Danio rerio: one gene and its partner. The protein of the gene in region 1 purifies or fractionates together with the protein of each later gene. This does not show direct contact. Links are inferred from orthologs where the notes say so. Each region holds a gene or a part of one and is shown in the gene's direction. Other genes may lie near its edges.

The links.
Region 2: the proteins of sh3pxd2aa (region 1) and fgd1 purify together in Homo sapiens (affinity purification with mass spectrometry; 3 studies listed by BioGRID and IntAct, with this or other methods). This does not show direct contact. The link is inferred for Danio rerio from reciprocal best matches to the Homo sapiens genes SH3PXD2A and FGD1.

The regions. Positions count from the first base shown.
Region 1 is NC_133176.1:50,954,781-50,962,714, forward strand, and holds part of sh3pxd2aa (SH3 and PX domain-containing protein 2A), read left to right. Parts: intron 1-2,067; exon of another isoform or gene 2,068-2,272; intron 2,273-2,443; coding exon 2,444-2,572; intron 2,573-7,934. UniProt on the Homo sapiens protein: Adapter protein involved in invadopodia and podosome formation, extracellular matrix degradation and invasiveness of some cancer cells. Binds matrix metalloproteinases (ADAMs), NADPH oxidases (NOXs) and phosphoinositides.
Region 2 is NC_133183.1:9,283,676-9,291,609, forward strand, and holds part of fgd1 (FYVE, RhoGEF and PH domain-containing protein 1), read left to right. Parts: intron 1-52; coding exon 53-265; intron 266-3,176; coding exon 3,177-3,366; intron 3,367-4,871; coding exon 4,872-5,556; intron 5,557-7,934. UniProt on the Homo sapiens protein: Activates CDC42, a member of the Ras-like family of Rho- and Rac proteins, by exchanging bound GDP for free GTP. Plays a role in regulating the actin cytoskeleton and cell shape.

The DNA.
Region 1 (7,934 bases):
GGAAAGAAAACATTTATGCTAAAACCTATTTATTTCTGTGTAGAAATTAGGATACATATATTTAGGATGCTTTGTAAAAAAGAAAAAAAAAAAAATATATATATATATACATACATATATATATAATATATATATATATATATATATATATATATATATATATATATATATATATATATATATATATATATATATATATATATATATATATATATATATATATAATATAGTTTGCATGTTCTCCCTATATATATGTGTTATAGTTTTTTGTATATCTAAAAATATTTCAAAAATTAAATTATGAAAATTGTGCAAAAACATTCCATAATATACTATACACTCACCGGCCACTTTATTAGGTATACCAGTCCAACTGCTCATCAATGCAAATTTCTAATCAGCCAATCACATGACAGCAACTAAATGCATTTAGGGGTGTAGACAAGGTCAAGATGATCTGCTGCAGTTTAAACCGAGCATCAGAATGGGGAAGAAAGGTGATTTAAGTGACTTTGAACGTGGCATGGTTGTTAGTGCCAGATAGGCTGGTCTGAGTATTTCAGAAACTGCTGATCTACTGGGATTATTTACGCACAACCATCTCTAGAGTTTACAGAGAATGGTACGAAAAAGAAAAAATATCCAGTGAGTAGAAGTTCTGTTGGTGCAAATGCCTTGTTATGCCTCTGGTATGCCTTGATACCAGAGGTCAGAGGAGAATGGCCAGACTGGTTTGAGCTGATAGAAAGGCAACAGTGACTCAAATAACCACTTGTTACAACCGAGGTGTGCAGAAGAGAATTGCTGAACACACAACAGCAGCAGAAGACCACTCAGGGTGCCTCTCTTGTCAGCAAAGAACAGGAGACTGAGGCTACAGTTTGCACAGGCTGACCCAAAATTGGACAACAGAAGATTGTAAAAATGTTGCCTGGTCTGTTCAGTCTCGATATCTGCTGCGACATTCAGATGGTAAGGTCAGAATATGGCATTAACAACATTAAAAAATGGGTCCATCCTGCCTTGTATTAAAGGTTTAGTCTGATGGTGGTAGTTAAATGGTGTGGGGGTATTTTCTTGGCACACTTTGGGCCCATTAGTACCAACTGAGCATCATGTCAACGCCACAGCCTACCTAAGTATTGTTGCTGACCATGTCCATCCCTTTATGACCACAGTGTACCCATTTTCTGCTGGCTACTTCCAGCAGAATAGTGCCCCATGTTATAAAGCGTGAATCATCTCAGACTGTTTTTTTGAACATGGCAATATGTTCACTGTACTCAAATGGCCTTCATAGGCACCAGATCTCAATCCAATAGAGCACCTTTTGATGTGGTGCAACAGGAAATTCACATCATGGTTGAGCAGCCGACAAATCTGCAGCAACTGCGTCAAGCGATCATGTCAATATGGAACAAAATCTCTGAGGAATATTTCTAGTACCTTCTTGAACCTATGCCACAAAAGATTAAGGCAGTTCTGAAGGCAAAAGGGGGTCCAAATCGGTCCTACTGTAGTAAGGTGTACCTAATAAATTGGCCGGTCGATGTATCATCATTTTGAGGTTTCAAAGCCCTGGTCCTCATCTTAAACATATGCAAAGACAAAAAAACCTCGCATAAACACATGTATACAAATATAGTCTTATATAACTTGTAAAACACTAAAGAACTTTCATTTTTACCTCGACACTCTTTATGTCACTATTAAAGAAGAGCAGGTTAATGAGATAATCAGAGGAACCACAAAAAGAAAGACAGAAGGACAGAGAAAGAGAGAGTGTGGCTTAACCTCAGCTGAAATGCTTTCTTCTTGCGTTTCGCATAAACACAGCTTCTCTCTCTTTACTCGGCCCACTCATATGTTTCTATTTAAGGCTTGGAGAGCAGTCTACCCTGATTGGCGTTTCTCTCTCTCTCTCTCTCTCTCTCTCTCTCAACCAGATGGGAGGAGGGACAGAGTAAGAGAGAGAATTCAAGTGAAAAAAGAGAAAGGGAGGGCAGGAGAAAGAGGGAGGGAGGCCTGTTCTTGCTCTCCTGTTGAAGAAAAACTTTCTATCCCTCCACTCACGAGTCACGTCCCCTACAGTAAACAGCTCTCTTTTTTCCCTTCCTCCCCATTTCCTCCTGAAAACCTTCACTGTATTATGGAGACCCGGCATCACCAAGAGCCTACCGAGCGCTCGAGTCCCTGAAGGATCTTTACCTCGTTTTGCTTTTTTGCAATTGTCCGTTTCCCCCATTCAAATGCACGTCCAGCGAGGGCGAAGGTTCGTCTAAATGGCCTGTCTTTGCAGAGCATGCAGGAGTCTGAGTTACGCTAGGTTGCGGAGTGCGGATGGCGGTGTACCGGGGTCAAGCCACGGGTCGCTGGCAGGGCAGGGTTGGCAGGGGGAGCGCGGGACGGTGGCTGACAGCTTGTTTCTTCCCCTCGCCGGCAGGACTGGACAGCAGTGAGCCCATGGTGCTGGAGCAGTACGTGGTGGTGGCCAACTACGAGAGGCAGGAAAACTCGGAGATCAGTCTGAAGGCTGGAGAAACGGTGGACGTCATTGAGAAGAGCGAAAGCGGTGAGTCCCTTACACACACACACACAAACACAGGAGCTAATTGGCTTACCACGTGGTGTTTATTGGCGAAAGCTCGTGTATACACAAACCACAAGCATTCAGAGTCGCCTGCACACATGAATGCTTTCAGACGCTGTTCTGATGCACACACACTCAGAAATAAGGTACAAGGTCTGTCACCAGGGTGGTACCTTATCAAAAGGTACACTTTTGTACCATACAGGTGGACATTAGTACCTTTAGGGTATACTTGTGCACCTTAAAGGCTCACTTTGTACCTTTAAAGTATCACATTTGTACTTTGTAAATATTAACATGTACCTTTAAGGACTTGTAAGGAACAAAAATGTCCCCAGTGACAGATTGTGTACCTTTATATCTGAGAGTGCACTTCTTCTTTGATCTATAGCTTTTCCTTTGGTCTTTGTCCTTAAGATCCCTTGATTCTCTCTTCTGACACCCCCCCCCCCCCCCCCCCCCTCACAATGTAAATCTACTGTCTGGCTCCACCTGGAGGTGTCGTATGGCCAGTTTTGTTGGCGGTTGGTCAGACAGAACCCCCTCCTCACCTCTGGAATGGAGGCCAGATTGATGTGGAATGTCCATGAGATAGGCATGAGAAGTTTGTGGGTTGAAACATGTGCTAATGGATAAGAGTCACCATTGTGAAGATTAACAACAACAAGTTAATTTAGCCTTGAGTGTTGTTTTTTTTGCCTTTGGTTTCTGTTTTCCCAGATCAATGATCTTGCTAATGCTGTAAATGTTCAAACTATGTGCAAACCTTTTATGTTAACATATCTCGTAGCCTTGCATAGTAGAAGTTGAACATTGACTCTACTGAGGTTATGAACTTTGTTTCTTGTCACGCTTGCTGAACTCTTGAAAGTAGGATTGCTCATCCAGAGGGCTAGCAATGATAGGCTTTCAAGAACTAGCATCCTACTGTTGAAAGTGTATACAAATGTTAGTGTGAGATAATGGAAGTCATTATATTATCTTGAAATCATGAGGAAGAGGGTGGGGAGGATTAGTAGGAGTTGTCAGGAGTTATCAAGATGAGTAAATATCCAGTAACCCCATTGGAACTCACTGATAATAGAGCTTGACCTTCTGGTATCATCTATCATAACATAACCATCTGTCTAAACTAGTCTAGACTATGGCTGCATTCGAAACCAAATACTTTCATACTATACAGTACGCTAAAATCAGTATGTGAGCCGAGTCGTTTGTCCGAATTCATAGAGTTCGAAAATCAGTATGCGAGAAGAAATACCCGGATGACTTACTACTTCCGGCAAGATTCTGAAGTGCGCATTCCATGCACGCTGCGCTATCCCATGATGCCCCGCAAGAGAATTCATGAATGGGACTGAAGCAACACAACTGATACAGGTAGGTCATGTGACCATGACAAAATAGCGGATGTAGTATTCCATTCATACCTTTCACATTCATACTGTGTAGAATGTACTTTTCTAACTGCCGAGTAGTACGTTTAAATTCAAATGCAGCACCAACTGAATAGGCGGTTTCTTACGCAGCATATGTCTAAACCAATCTTAATAGGTGTTCAATATGAGACATTGATATTGGAAGTTTGTTTGCTGCTAAGTGTTTTTTTTCTTTATTTTATTTAAACATACCAGCAAATATTAGCTATACTGAATGTGAAAGATGCCCACTGTAAATAGTTTGTCATTTTTGTCAGTATGCCACATCTAGTGTAGACAGAAAACCATGCAACAGGAGTTTAAACTGATGAGGTTGACGAATTTGACGAAACTGACGAATTTCACATGACACAGAAGTGATAAATCAAAACCAAACCAATGTTTGGTAACGTCTGAATATGCACTGTAAAGGCTCCACCTTCTTTTGTAGCAGTTCATTTACATTTATCAACACAGGCTCATTGTGAAAACGTATTCCCATATACATTTCTGGAGAGCACGAATTATGTAGCCAGAGCAACGTATGGCTGCATTTCGTCTTTAAAACGAACGATACAGGGCGGTATGGAACCATAAACAGCTTCTGTTTCTTTTCACGCTACCGGCTGACCACTTACCTCGGTGTAGATGGCTATTCTGCTGTTACCAGTTTGCCCAGTGGCTCGCCTTACGCATAAGTGGACTTGAGACGCAGAGAGGAGTTGACCACAACAATGTGGTTTGAGTCCAGTGAGAACGGTTCCAGAAAGCAGGCAAAACAAAAACAAAAGACAAAACATTAAATAAACTAGTAAATAACAGAGAAAGAATGTGGTAAAATCTGAAAATGTGGTAAAAATCAGGCTAAGGCTTTTCCTTTCTGGATTGCTTTTGAAAACACTGTCTGTTGGGTTTAGAAAAGGCGGTGGGCGGTGTAATGTTTGTGTTTAACTCTAAGCCAATGATGTTATATAAGCAGGACATTCCATGTTCCTATTGGCTAGAATGAGTGTCAGTCAAGTTCCTCAAGGAAATGATAGAGAGAATAGGAAACAAGGGAACGCATGCGATGCTGTAAGAAAGCGCTAAGAAAGCGCTATGTTCTGAGTTAAGTTGATATTAAAAAAAACATACGTTGTTACAGCCAGCCTGTGAGTGGTCTAATATTCAACTGACACAACATGGTGTCAGAATAAACGGATGACAAACGAAGATGGATTCAGCAGGAGTCCCGATGCCGATTATGAACTGGGAGGCTAATAACCTGCCCGAGTCATGGCGCAAGTTTCAACAGCAAGCAGAGCTAATGTTCAGCGGACCCCTAAAAAATAAGGGTGAGGATGAAAAATGCAGTTATCTTCTCCTGTGAGTGGTCTAATATTCAACTTACACAACAGGCGGATTAATATGTGCTTTTGAAAACACTATCTATTAGGTTTAGGGAAGGCTGTGGGCGGGTTAATCAATGCTTTTGAAAACAATATCGGTTGGGTTTAGGGAAGGCTGTGGGTGGGTTAATCAATGCTTTTGAAAACACTATCAGTCGGGTTTAGGGAAAGGGGATTTGGCGGGAATCAGTCAGTCAGTCAGTCAGTCAGTCAGTCAGTCAGTCAGTTGTCAGCGACCTTTGGTGGATTCAGGCAAGAACAACAGGGATGAATGGCACTTGCGAGAGAAATTTGAGATCTGCAAAAGCGTACACAGCAGCCTCTGGTGGATTTGCGAAAAAACAGACTGCAAAAACGTACCTCCTGGGAGGTATTTCGTGTTCTCCAGAAATGTATACATGGGTACATATCAATAATGATCCTGGATTGGCATTTAAAGAGACACACATAGAAACAGCATGTCTTGCTTCCACTTAAAATAGCCCATCTACAAAAATAGTTTACTAAAATCTGTGGAGCATTTTTAGCTGACATTTATAGAAACATTATGGGGGCACTTATATTTTGTCTTGTAAAAAGAGCATAATAGCTCCTCTTTAATAATAACAAAAGAGATTCTTCCTCAGGATGTGGATGTCCTTGAGTAAAAAACTCTTGGCTTCCTTGGCCACAGTTAAACTCCAGCTGTTTTACAGTGCAGGCAAAGCATGACAACTTTGCTTGAGTCGAGAAAAGATGTACCACGCAAGGCCACAGGATTAATGAGTTGGAAACAGAAGCAGAGAGAGTCTAAATGAGAGAAACGAACAGAATATAAACACAGAATCATCTGCAAGAATGCATGTTTGAGCTGTTGAGAGTCAAATGGTGACTGAATTGTTATTTTTAAAAGGATAGTTCACCCAAATTGAACATTTACTCAAGTTGTTCTAAACCTTTATGAATTTATTTCTTCTGTTGAGAACAAAACAAAATTTTCTGAAGAATGTTGGGAGAAAACAGCCATTGTAGGAACAAAAAATACCATTGAAGTCAATTGACATTCGTTAGTATATCTTCCTTTGTGTTCAACAGAAGAGACACTCAACCAGCTTTGAAACAAGCGGATGGTGAGTAAATGATAGTGAAATGTTTATTTTGGGGTGAACTATCCCTTTAAGTGAACCGTCGCTTTAAATCTGCAGCCTATAAGCCAACTCCTGGAGTGAACTGTCTGTCCTTCGTTGACTCCAGAATTCATCAGATGTTCAAAGCGTTTATTGAAACTGAAGATGTGCAGCATCAGCTTGATATCTTGACACAAGTTGCCCTTCCTCCAACATCCAATCTCTTAAACAGATTTCCATATTTTGTACTATAGTATTAAATGACAATTCAAGTGCCGTTCAGAGTGTATTTTTTACCATTGGATATCATTCAAACCAACTTTTTAATGTGGCAAAGCTGCCTTTATAAGAAGTGATTGGCAGAAATAGGGCTGCTCTGGCTTCCCTCTCTAGGTCATGGAGAGGAAACGATGGAAAAATCCCCCTTGTCCTTAGTTTCATTACAGGCTAATGGATCCAGCAGAGTCTTACAGAGCGTTTACAGTGTCACGAATCCCAAACCAATACTAGCAGAAAGCGTTCAAAAGTTTTTGTTGCATGTCTGTAATATAGATAGCACAGTCAAGAGTTTATAAATCAGCCTGCTGTTTTTTTAGCATTATTTTAGGCAACTCTTCCATATAACAAAATAAATACAAGAATTATTAGTGGAACTGGTCGGAGGTCAGTAGCATTTGATTCCAGTGAGGGTAAACCTGACATGGCAATCTTCTGACATGTTGTCGGATATCTGCTTCAGATGCTGCTGTTGGTCCACGAGTTGTTTTGTTTCTTCCATTTTTGATTATATAGTTTAAGTTACTGTAAATACACTTTTAGGCTCTAAAACACAGATTAGCCGTCCATCAAATTATTTTTGTTTTCAGTGAACTGTATTTCTACCTTTATTATTAAGCAGATACTAACAGTACACTACCTGACAAAAGGCTTGTCCTTAATCCCAGTAGTAAGAGCAACAAATAAGAACTTGACTTTTAGTTGATCAATTGGAAAAGTGACAGAAGGTGTCAAAAAAGAAGAGCAGAAGGAATTCAATTTAGCGCAGGTTTAAAATGTGAGTATGTTGACATAGAGCATCTACAACAACTGTCATCTGCTGTTAAAGAAACTTTTTTTTTTAGTTTTGCTTCGATGTAATGAATTCTGTGAACAACTCCGAACTGAACAAGGTTCAAACGAGCACAAATACAGCTAGAAGTGCGCTGTATTTCTGTCCAAAATACTGTCTAAAAAGAGCAATGCTTAGATCTGGAATTTTAAACATATGATTGGGGATTATTCTAAAGAAACGTTCATTATTTCATATTCCACTCTTCTTCAACGCGCTGCAGTAGACTATGCCCTACTATGAAAATTGCTCTGTGCCATCAATATTATGAGGTTTCCTCCCATCCTCTGGCTTCTCTCTCCCCTGGGTCCATTCGTTCAGCCG
Region 2 (7,934 bases), on another chromosome or scaffold:
AGACCATCGGGCATTTATTGAGATTCTACAAATCACTCTCTCTGTCTGTCAGGCTCATCTTCATCCAGTCCGCGGCTCCTAACCAAGAGTCTGTCCCTTGATCCAGGCCCCTGCCTCGGAGCCCACGAGACCCCACAGCGCCTCTGCTCTGACCCCGGACCCTTGGAACCGCAGCACTGCAATGGCACAAGTGAGAACGGCCCTCAGGACGTCCCACCTCCACCTCCCAAAACACGGCCACCTTTACCTGGGCCAAAGCCTCAAGGTGGGTTCTCTAAGGCTATGTTTACACAGTGATGTAGCCAAAAACGAGATGTTTTTTCTAGGGCTACACAATATAAATAGTTTCAGCATCGATATTGCAGTGTGCGAATCTACAATAGTTACATTGCAATGTCATTGCAAAACAGCAATGTTGAGTTGGGATTATAATTTAAACCATAGGGGCAAGTTTGTTGCTTCAAAGACAATTAATTGTAATTATTTACATAATGAAATCGGTAGTCAACATTTGAAGTTGAAGAAAAAACTGCATCAAAGTAAGAATTGGTAATGTTGAATAGTTTTAGGACGACTTTGATTTTTTGATCCAGTCTTGATCGAGGGTTATTCTACATTTGATTATTTTCTTGCTGTTCCTTAATACTGAAAACAATAAAGCACTAAGTACATTTACATGGACACCAATAGTCCAGACACCCCAAGTTACGAAAAGTCATTTCTGGGGGAGAAAGCAATGATTTCCAGGAGGTTGACGTATCTGAAGGGGACGTATCTGAAGAGCGGAGGGGTTGCACAGAGAGGGGTGGGGGGTGCGGCAGAGAGGGGTTGGCAAAGTATTTGAGGACCAGGTGTGAGATGTGCGATTATCATTATAATTATATCCGGGAGATTATCATTTGTTTGTGAGCATCCGGGAGTCTCTATGTATTAGCGGGAGATTCCTGGAACCAGAGGATGTCTGAATAATCCGATATTAATACTATCAAGACAATACTCTGATTAAGAGTCTACCATGTAAACAGCGATTTTTGATTAATTTAATCCAACTAAAGCCACAATCGAACTAAACAGAAATCGAGTTAAGGCATGTGGAGTATGTCGATTTTAGTCGCATTATTAAAGTGCAGTACAGACATGAAACACCACAATCAAACTATTACTATCGTCAAAGTCTCTTTGAAGCAAGTAATTTCACTTTCACGTTTTTAATAATTTCCCAAAAGTTGATCATCCATACTGAAATGACTGAAAACACAGTGGCTGTACTGAGTATGCGATAAGGTGTTCATTAACTTTTCAGCTCTTGGAAATGTTGCAGCAATATGATGAGGAAAAGTTTTGTTTTTTTAAATTGGATTAACAGTGCGATGGAGCTGTTTCTGTGAGTAACACAGGAGTATAAAAGTTGCAGAAGCATGAGAGACATTAGACTGAGAGACATGCCAAAACAAGTAAGCTCTAAGTAAACATTGTCTTTTGAAGAAAAGAAATTTTGAGCATGTACAGAGTGAAATTAATCTTTAACAATGCTGTCAAATAGAGAACATCCAAAACAAGTGCTGTACAATGTCATCCACCATTTTAGCTGAGCTGGTCACGTGACTAAAATGCATTTGAAGTAGGGAAATGTTCTCGAGCCAGGATTCAAACTCGGGACACCCTGATGTGCTACTATGCACTATATGTCATTGCAGTAACCACTAGGCTACTGCGCCGACCAACTTTCAGTATTTGATGTCAATATGACATTGGTTTAAGATGTTGGCTCAACGTTGAATTTCAGTCGTCCAACGCAACCTAAAATCAACCAATTATCAACATCATTTGATGTCATTATTGGACAACAAAATAATGTCATTATACACTGACTAGACATTGAATTTTGGTCACCCGACTTCACCACCTAAATCGAACCTAAAATTAACGTCTTACATCAACATAAACTGCTGTTGAAGTTAGCAGGGAGAGTTAACCTAAAATTAAACATCACCCTCTGTAAAGATTCGCCTAACTAACAAGTTGATACAATTTACCATACTGATCTCACAATATATATATATTTTTTTTTACAAAATTAGCTGACAATTTAGAAATGAATAGAGGCCTTTTTTATTTCTCAAATGCTGCACGTTTATTTGTAAAATTAAAATATATTTTGTTAAATAAGACAACTAAACTACATTTTTAAATGAAATTCATCAAATAAAAATATATAATTCAAATAAAATACCTTTAATTTAAACAATCTAACTCTAACTTTTCTTATCTTGTTTTTATGTTTATATTTTATTTTTTTAAAGATAAGATATAAAGATATGTATATATCTTTGTTTTTATAAAATAATATATGAATTGTTAATTGTATTTTGTTTACCCTTTATTTAACCGAAACAGACTCTCTGAGATTATTAGTCTCTTTAGCAGGAGTGTCCTGGCCAAAATGAACAAAAAAGATTTTACAGACTTCACAGGACAAACATTAAGAATACCTAAAAAAAATACAAATCATAGAAACACCCTCCGTTTGCTGAGCAATTCACTTAAAATTATCCAAAGAGACCCATTTTTGTTACTTAGACTGAAGAGTATTAATATACGTTAAAGCCTTCTTAGCCAGTTAAGTGCGAACAAAAGGAACAGAGAGAGTATTACAATTCTGAACTGCTGTATTTCAAATTTAATGGAGTTTAATGTGGAGTACAATGATAAGTAATTTTTTTCTGATTTAAATAAGCATTTCAGATCATAACAAGCGTAATAAATGTAGTAATGCATACATTTTTTCTGTTTTCTCGTTATTTTAATGTAATTTAATGAAATAAATATATATGTAATATCAATATATTTTTTAAATAACCAAAATGAGTGAATGATTTGAACTTTTATTACTATAACAATAGTAGTGCATGTTTTGTAATGTACATAAAGGATATACAAAACCTTTATCTATCTACATAGAAGTCATTATTATTTTAATATTATCTGTATTTTAAATTGACCTCATGAACCAATTAATTGTGATATAAAATACAATATGCAATTAGGATGCATACATAAAAGTACAGTCTCTGCTGATGTTCCAGTTAATATCTGTGTGTCTCTCTGTGTTGCGGTCATGTGATTGTGCACCAGTCTCACTTTATTGATTTCTGTATTGATCTTGTCTCGTTCAGTGCCCCCGAAACCCCCTCATCTACAGCAGCAGAACGCTCGACGGCCCCGCCCCCCAGACAAGCCCCTCCCACCGCCACCACCATCCCGCCCACTGCCAGCCGACCCCCGCCAATCACGTGCCACCATGCCGAGGGCAGAGGGAAGCTCCTCCCCCACTTGTGTCCTTTCGCTCATCGAGAAGTTTGAGAGGTGAGAAAGCAACACAAACAGACATTACTGTACGGTTTATTATTCATAACTACAGTCAGTCATGAGTGATGATATCTCCGTTTGTTGATCATAGGTAAGCTCATTTTCATTTGTTTTATGTGCGATTGATTTGCTGAATTTTAATGGGAAGAGGTAGCCACTGTTTTTAGTAGTACTAATGCTGTTTAATGTTTGTCTTAAATGTATGGTATAATATATATGTTGCAAATCTATTATGCTGCAGAACAAATCACCCCGAAAGGGGACAATAAAGTTTACAGTAATATATTAAAATATTAAAAAATATTATATTAAAAATATTTATTATATATATATATATATATATATATATATATATATATATATATATATATATATATATATATATATATATATATATATATATGTAAACAAGAGACTAAATCTTTCATTTTGCTGAAGAAAATTTTTTTAGTTTTAGTTATTATATTATATTATATTATATCATATTATATTATATTATATTATATTATATTATATTATATTATATTATATTATATTATATTATATTATATAATTTAAAAGCATAATCATATAAAATATATATCACATATATAAAATAAATAATATATTATATAAAATACAGATATTTATATCAAAACATAAAAAATTATAATATATATTCATATCAAAATGAATAGTTCAAGTCAAAATATTAAATGTGATTTAAACAAAATGTACTTTTTGTACTTTTTCAGAGATTATGGCTATTTTGGTAATAAAATGGCTAATAATAATAATGATGATAATAATATATTTTTTATTTACTTTTGTTTTAAATTTAAGGTAAATTAAGATACAATTAAGAAGCATAAAATATTAACACTTTCCAGACAATATAACTATAGATTAACTAAAGGTAAAGGGAGATGTGAGTACAGTTGCATAAGAAATTCATTCTTTTTTTTAAGCATAACTATTATATAGATATAAAATTTAGTAAATCGTTTGTTACTTGAGCTATTTAATTCTTGCAAAACAAAATGTATCGAAGGAGCAGTTTGTCCTGGGATATCTTGACTTTTTTTTGGGAATGTTTCAGTAAATTTTTTAATTTAAGGTAAAACAAAAAAGTAAGTAGAATTGCAGATATTAATACAGATATTAATACTTTTTTCTTATTGTTAGCATGAATCTTACATTCTTATTTACATTATATTTATATTCTTTATCTCATATCATATTTCTTTAATATGTTTGTATTTATTTTTAAGTCTTAAGCAAATTAATTTAATCTTATTTAATATAGTTTAGTGTAAAAAGGTTTTCAGTGACAAAAATATATATTATTTACATTTATTTTTATATTTATTTTATTAAAATGAGTTTATTTAATACATTTTATTCAGCACAAACATGTGTTTATTACATGTGTTTTAGATATTTGTAAATACACATATCAAAAAATGTTTCGCGAAGTCATCCACAATATATTTATTTGTGCTTTTTTTGTGTTTAATATTCAGGGAGCAGATAATTGTGGTGCCAGATATCACTGGGGGCGTGATGTGTACCCCGCGGGTCCCGGATCAGCAGGCCACTCCTGGGTCACTTAGTCCTCAAACATCAGAGTTTATCCTGCCCTGCACATCCCTTCAGGAACCTCTAGAGGCGCCGCTGGCAGAGGACGAGCTTGAGAAAGAAGAAAAAGAGGAGGAAGAAGAAGAAGATGTAGACGAAACTGAAGAAGATGACAGCGAGCTTGGGGCGTCCTGCTCAGATAAGCGTCTTTCCATGGAATCAGGCTACGGCGCTTCAGATAAACTGCTGGACAACATGGAGATGACAGCCAACCAATCAGAAATCCCCTCTGACCGATTGTCCCTCCCCCCAGCGCAGATGGACGGGAAGCTGGCCAATCGGGACAGCGGAATCGACAGCATCAGCTCGCCTTCACACAGCGAGGAGCTCTGCTTTGTTGGGGACGAGGATCGGGTCGGTCATGAGCGGGAGATTTGTCCGTGTAGCCCAGGACCAGGGATTTCATGTAGTTATGTGGAGGGTCCCGATGAAGAGGGGGCCGGCGGGGAGGAGGCTGGCAGAGACTCAGAGGGAGACAGTGATCTGGAGGAGGGCAGTGGAGACGAGAGCGAGATGAACCCCATGGCTCTACAACCTCTGCCCAAAGCTGAACGACAAGACTCCACTGAGGTCAGAAGGGTGCTTTGTTAATGCCATATACCATATCTACATGGCTATACTCACAGTGGAATAAGTAAATGTTGAACATGTGTGGTTTATTTATAAAATAATTTCGAGATGATCACATGCTTATGATCAACACGGCTGGCACCTCTGTAATCTGCTCTATAATAGAGCATTATAAATAACCAAAATTTTTCACTCCGGTTATCTTCGTCTTGAAGCTTCCCCCCTTCCACTCCTACTTCCCACCCTTTTTTTTCGATATGGCGACACGGTGGCCCATTGGCTAGCACTGTTGCCTCACAGCAAGAACACCGCTGGTCCAACCTCCCATCAGGCCGATTGGCGTTTCTGTGCGGAGTTTCTATGCTCTCCCCATGTTTGCGTGGGTTTCCCCCGGGTTCCCCGGTTTCCTCCCACCGACCAAAAACATACACCATAGCCTATCAACTAAACCAAGTTATCACCCAGGACAAACTTAGTTTACACTTCTCACACGGCGACAAGCAGGGGAGTTCTCGAGACCCACCTGAGCTCGAACTCCCCTCTCGACCCTTCTGACGGGAGGGAGCCCCAGGCTCGAGGATATTACGAGTTCAGGGCTCTCTCCCGGGATAGCATGACAATTCAGCTCTATTGATTATAAGCCAAGTGTGAACTCTCGAAGTCAGCATTTTTCTCAGAGAACATATTTCTAAAGGTGCTGTTGACTTGAAATTTTCACCGGAGGTTGATAACAACCAAAACAATCTGTATATGAAAAGAAAACAAATCTAATTAATTTACAAATTAAGTTATGCTAAATAAAATGAAATGACGCAGGGAAAAAGTATTGAACACATGAAGAAAGAAAGGTGTAGAAAGACTAGACAGCAGCTGAAATATCTCAGTAGTTCTTCAGCAACCCTCTGCACTTCCTCATTGGAAATGAATGTCAGCTGCTTCAGTCCAACATCTACATTATAAGGTATTATAAGTTGATAAAAGTTAAAAAGTATTAAAAGTTGGTAAATCAGTCAGCGCCAGTGGTACAGTGGTTAGTGAGTCAACACATGCACTCCGGTGCTCGTGGTGACCTGAGTTCGATTCCACCTCGTGGTCCTATGCAGATTTTTTTCCCCTCTCTCTGCTCCTCATGCTTTCCTGTCAATTCTCTCTAATGTCCTATCGAATAAAGGTGAAAACCCCTAAAAAATAATTGAAAAAAAGTTGATAAATCAATGAAGAAAAATTTAGGGCCCTTAAAAAGCATTTAAAAAGTCTTAAATGCTATTTTGCATGTCATAAAATGATATATAATTTTTGATTATGCAATGTTGTGTGCTAAAGTTTGCCTGAATTAAATCTACGAAAAACAGCAATGTTTTCTCTAGGATTTTTTCCAGCTGTGGCGGCAGACCTTTTACTTAAATCTACCAATTACCTATGCCGTTATTTCAATGACAAATGGAGAAATGTTGTGAGCGCAGTATTAGTCGAGATCGCATTTATTTAATACGAGCATGCAAATCTTTTGGCTTGCGCGCCGATTTCCTCTGCACAAAACCTCTTGCACTCCCCCTCAAATATACGCTGCTCAAGCGCAGATCTTCTTGTGCGCTCTCAAATAAACACTGCTAAAGTGCAATTTAGCGTGTTTATGTAGTGAGTATGTGTTCAACATTTATTAGATTTGCTTGGAATATTTATGAATGTCTCCAGGACACATCAATGCCGCTCTGTAGGCCTATTGAAGTAAAGTGAAACGGCCATAAACTCCAGCAAGCTAAAGTCATTATATGCAGAGCCACAGACCTTTATCTATAAATAAATTAAAATTATGGAAACTGTTTTCATCCTGGACGAGGCAGTGGCGCAGTAGGTAGTGCTGTCGCCTCACAGCAAGAAGGTCGCTGGGTCGCTGGTTTGAACCTCGGCTCAATTGGCATTTCTGTGTGGAGTTTGCATGTTCTCCCTGCCTTCGCGTGGGTTTCCTCTGGGTGCTCCGGTTTCCCCCACAATCCAAAGACGTGTGGTACAGGTGAATTGGGTTGGCTAAATTGTCTGTAGTGTGTGTGTGAATGTGTGTGTGGATGTTTCCCAGAAATGAGTTGCGGCTGGAAGGGCATCCGCTGCGTAAAAACTTGCTGGATAAGTTGGCAGTTCATTCCGCTGTGGCGACCCCGGATTAATAAAGGGACTAAGCCGACAAGAAAATGAATGAATGAATGTTTTCATCCTAAGTGAAAACTATGTTGTGTTTGCTGGCCTCACGCACCACACGTCAGTGAGTCAGTCAGCACGTAACCTCAAAAGGTTAAACAAATGACGCACAGCACTACTACGATTACAGAAAAGTTTTCCTTGTTCTAACTAACTTACCTGTCAATAAGTTTTAGTGCGAT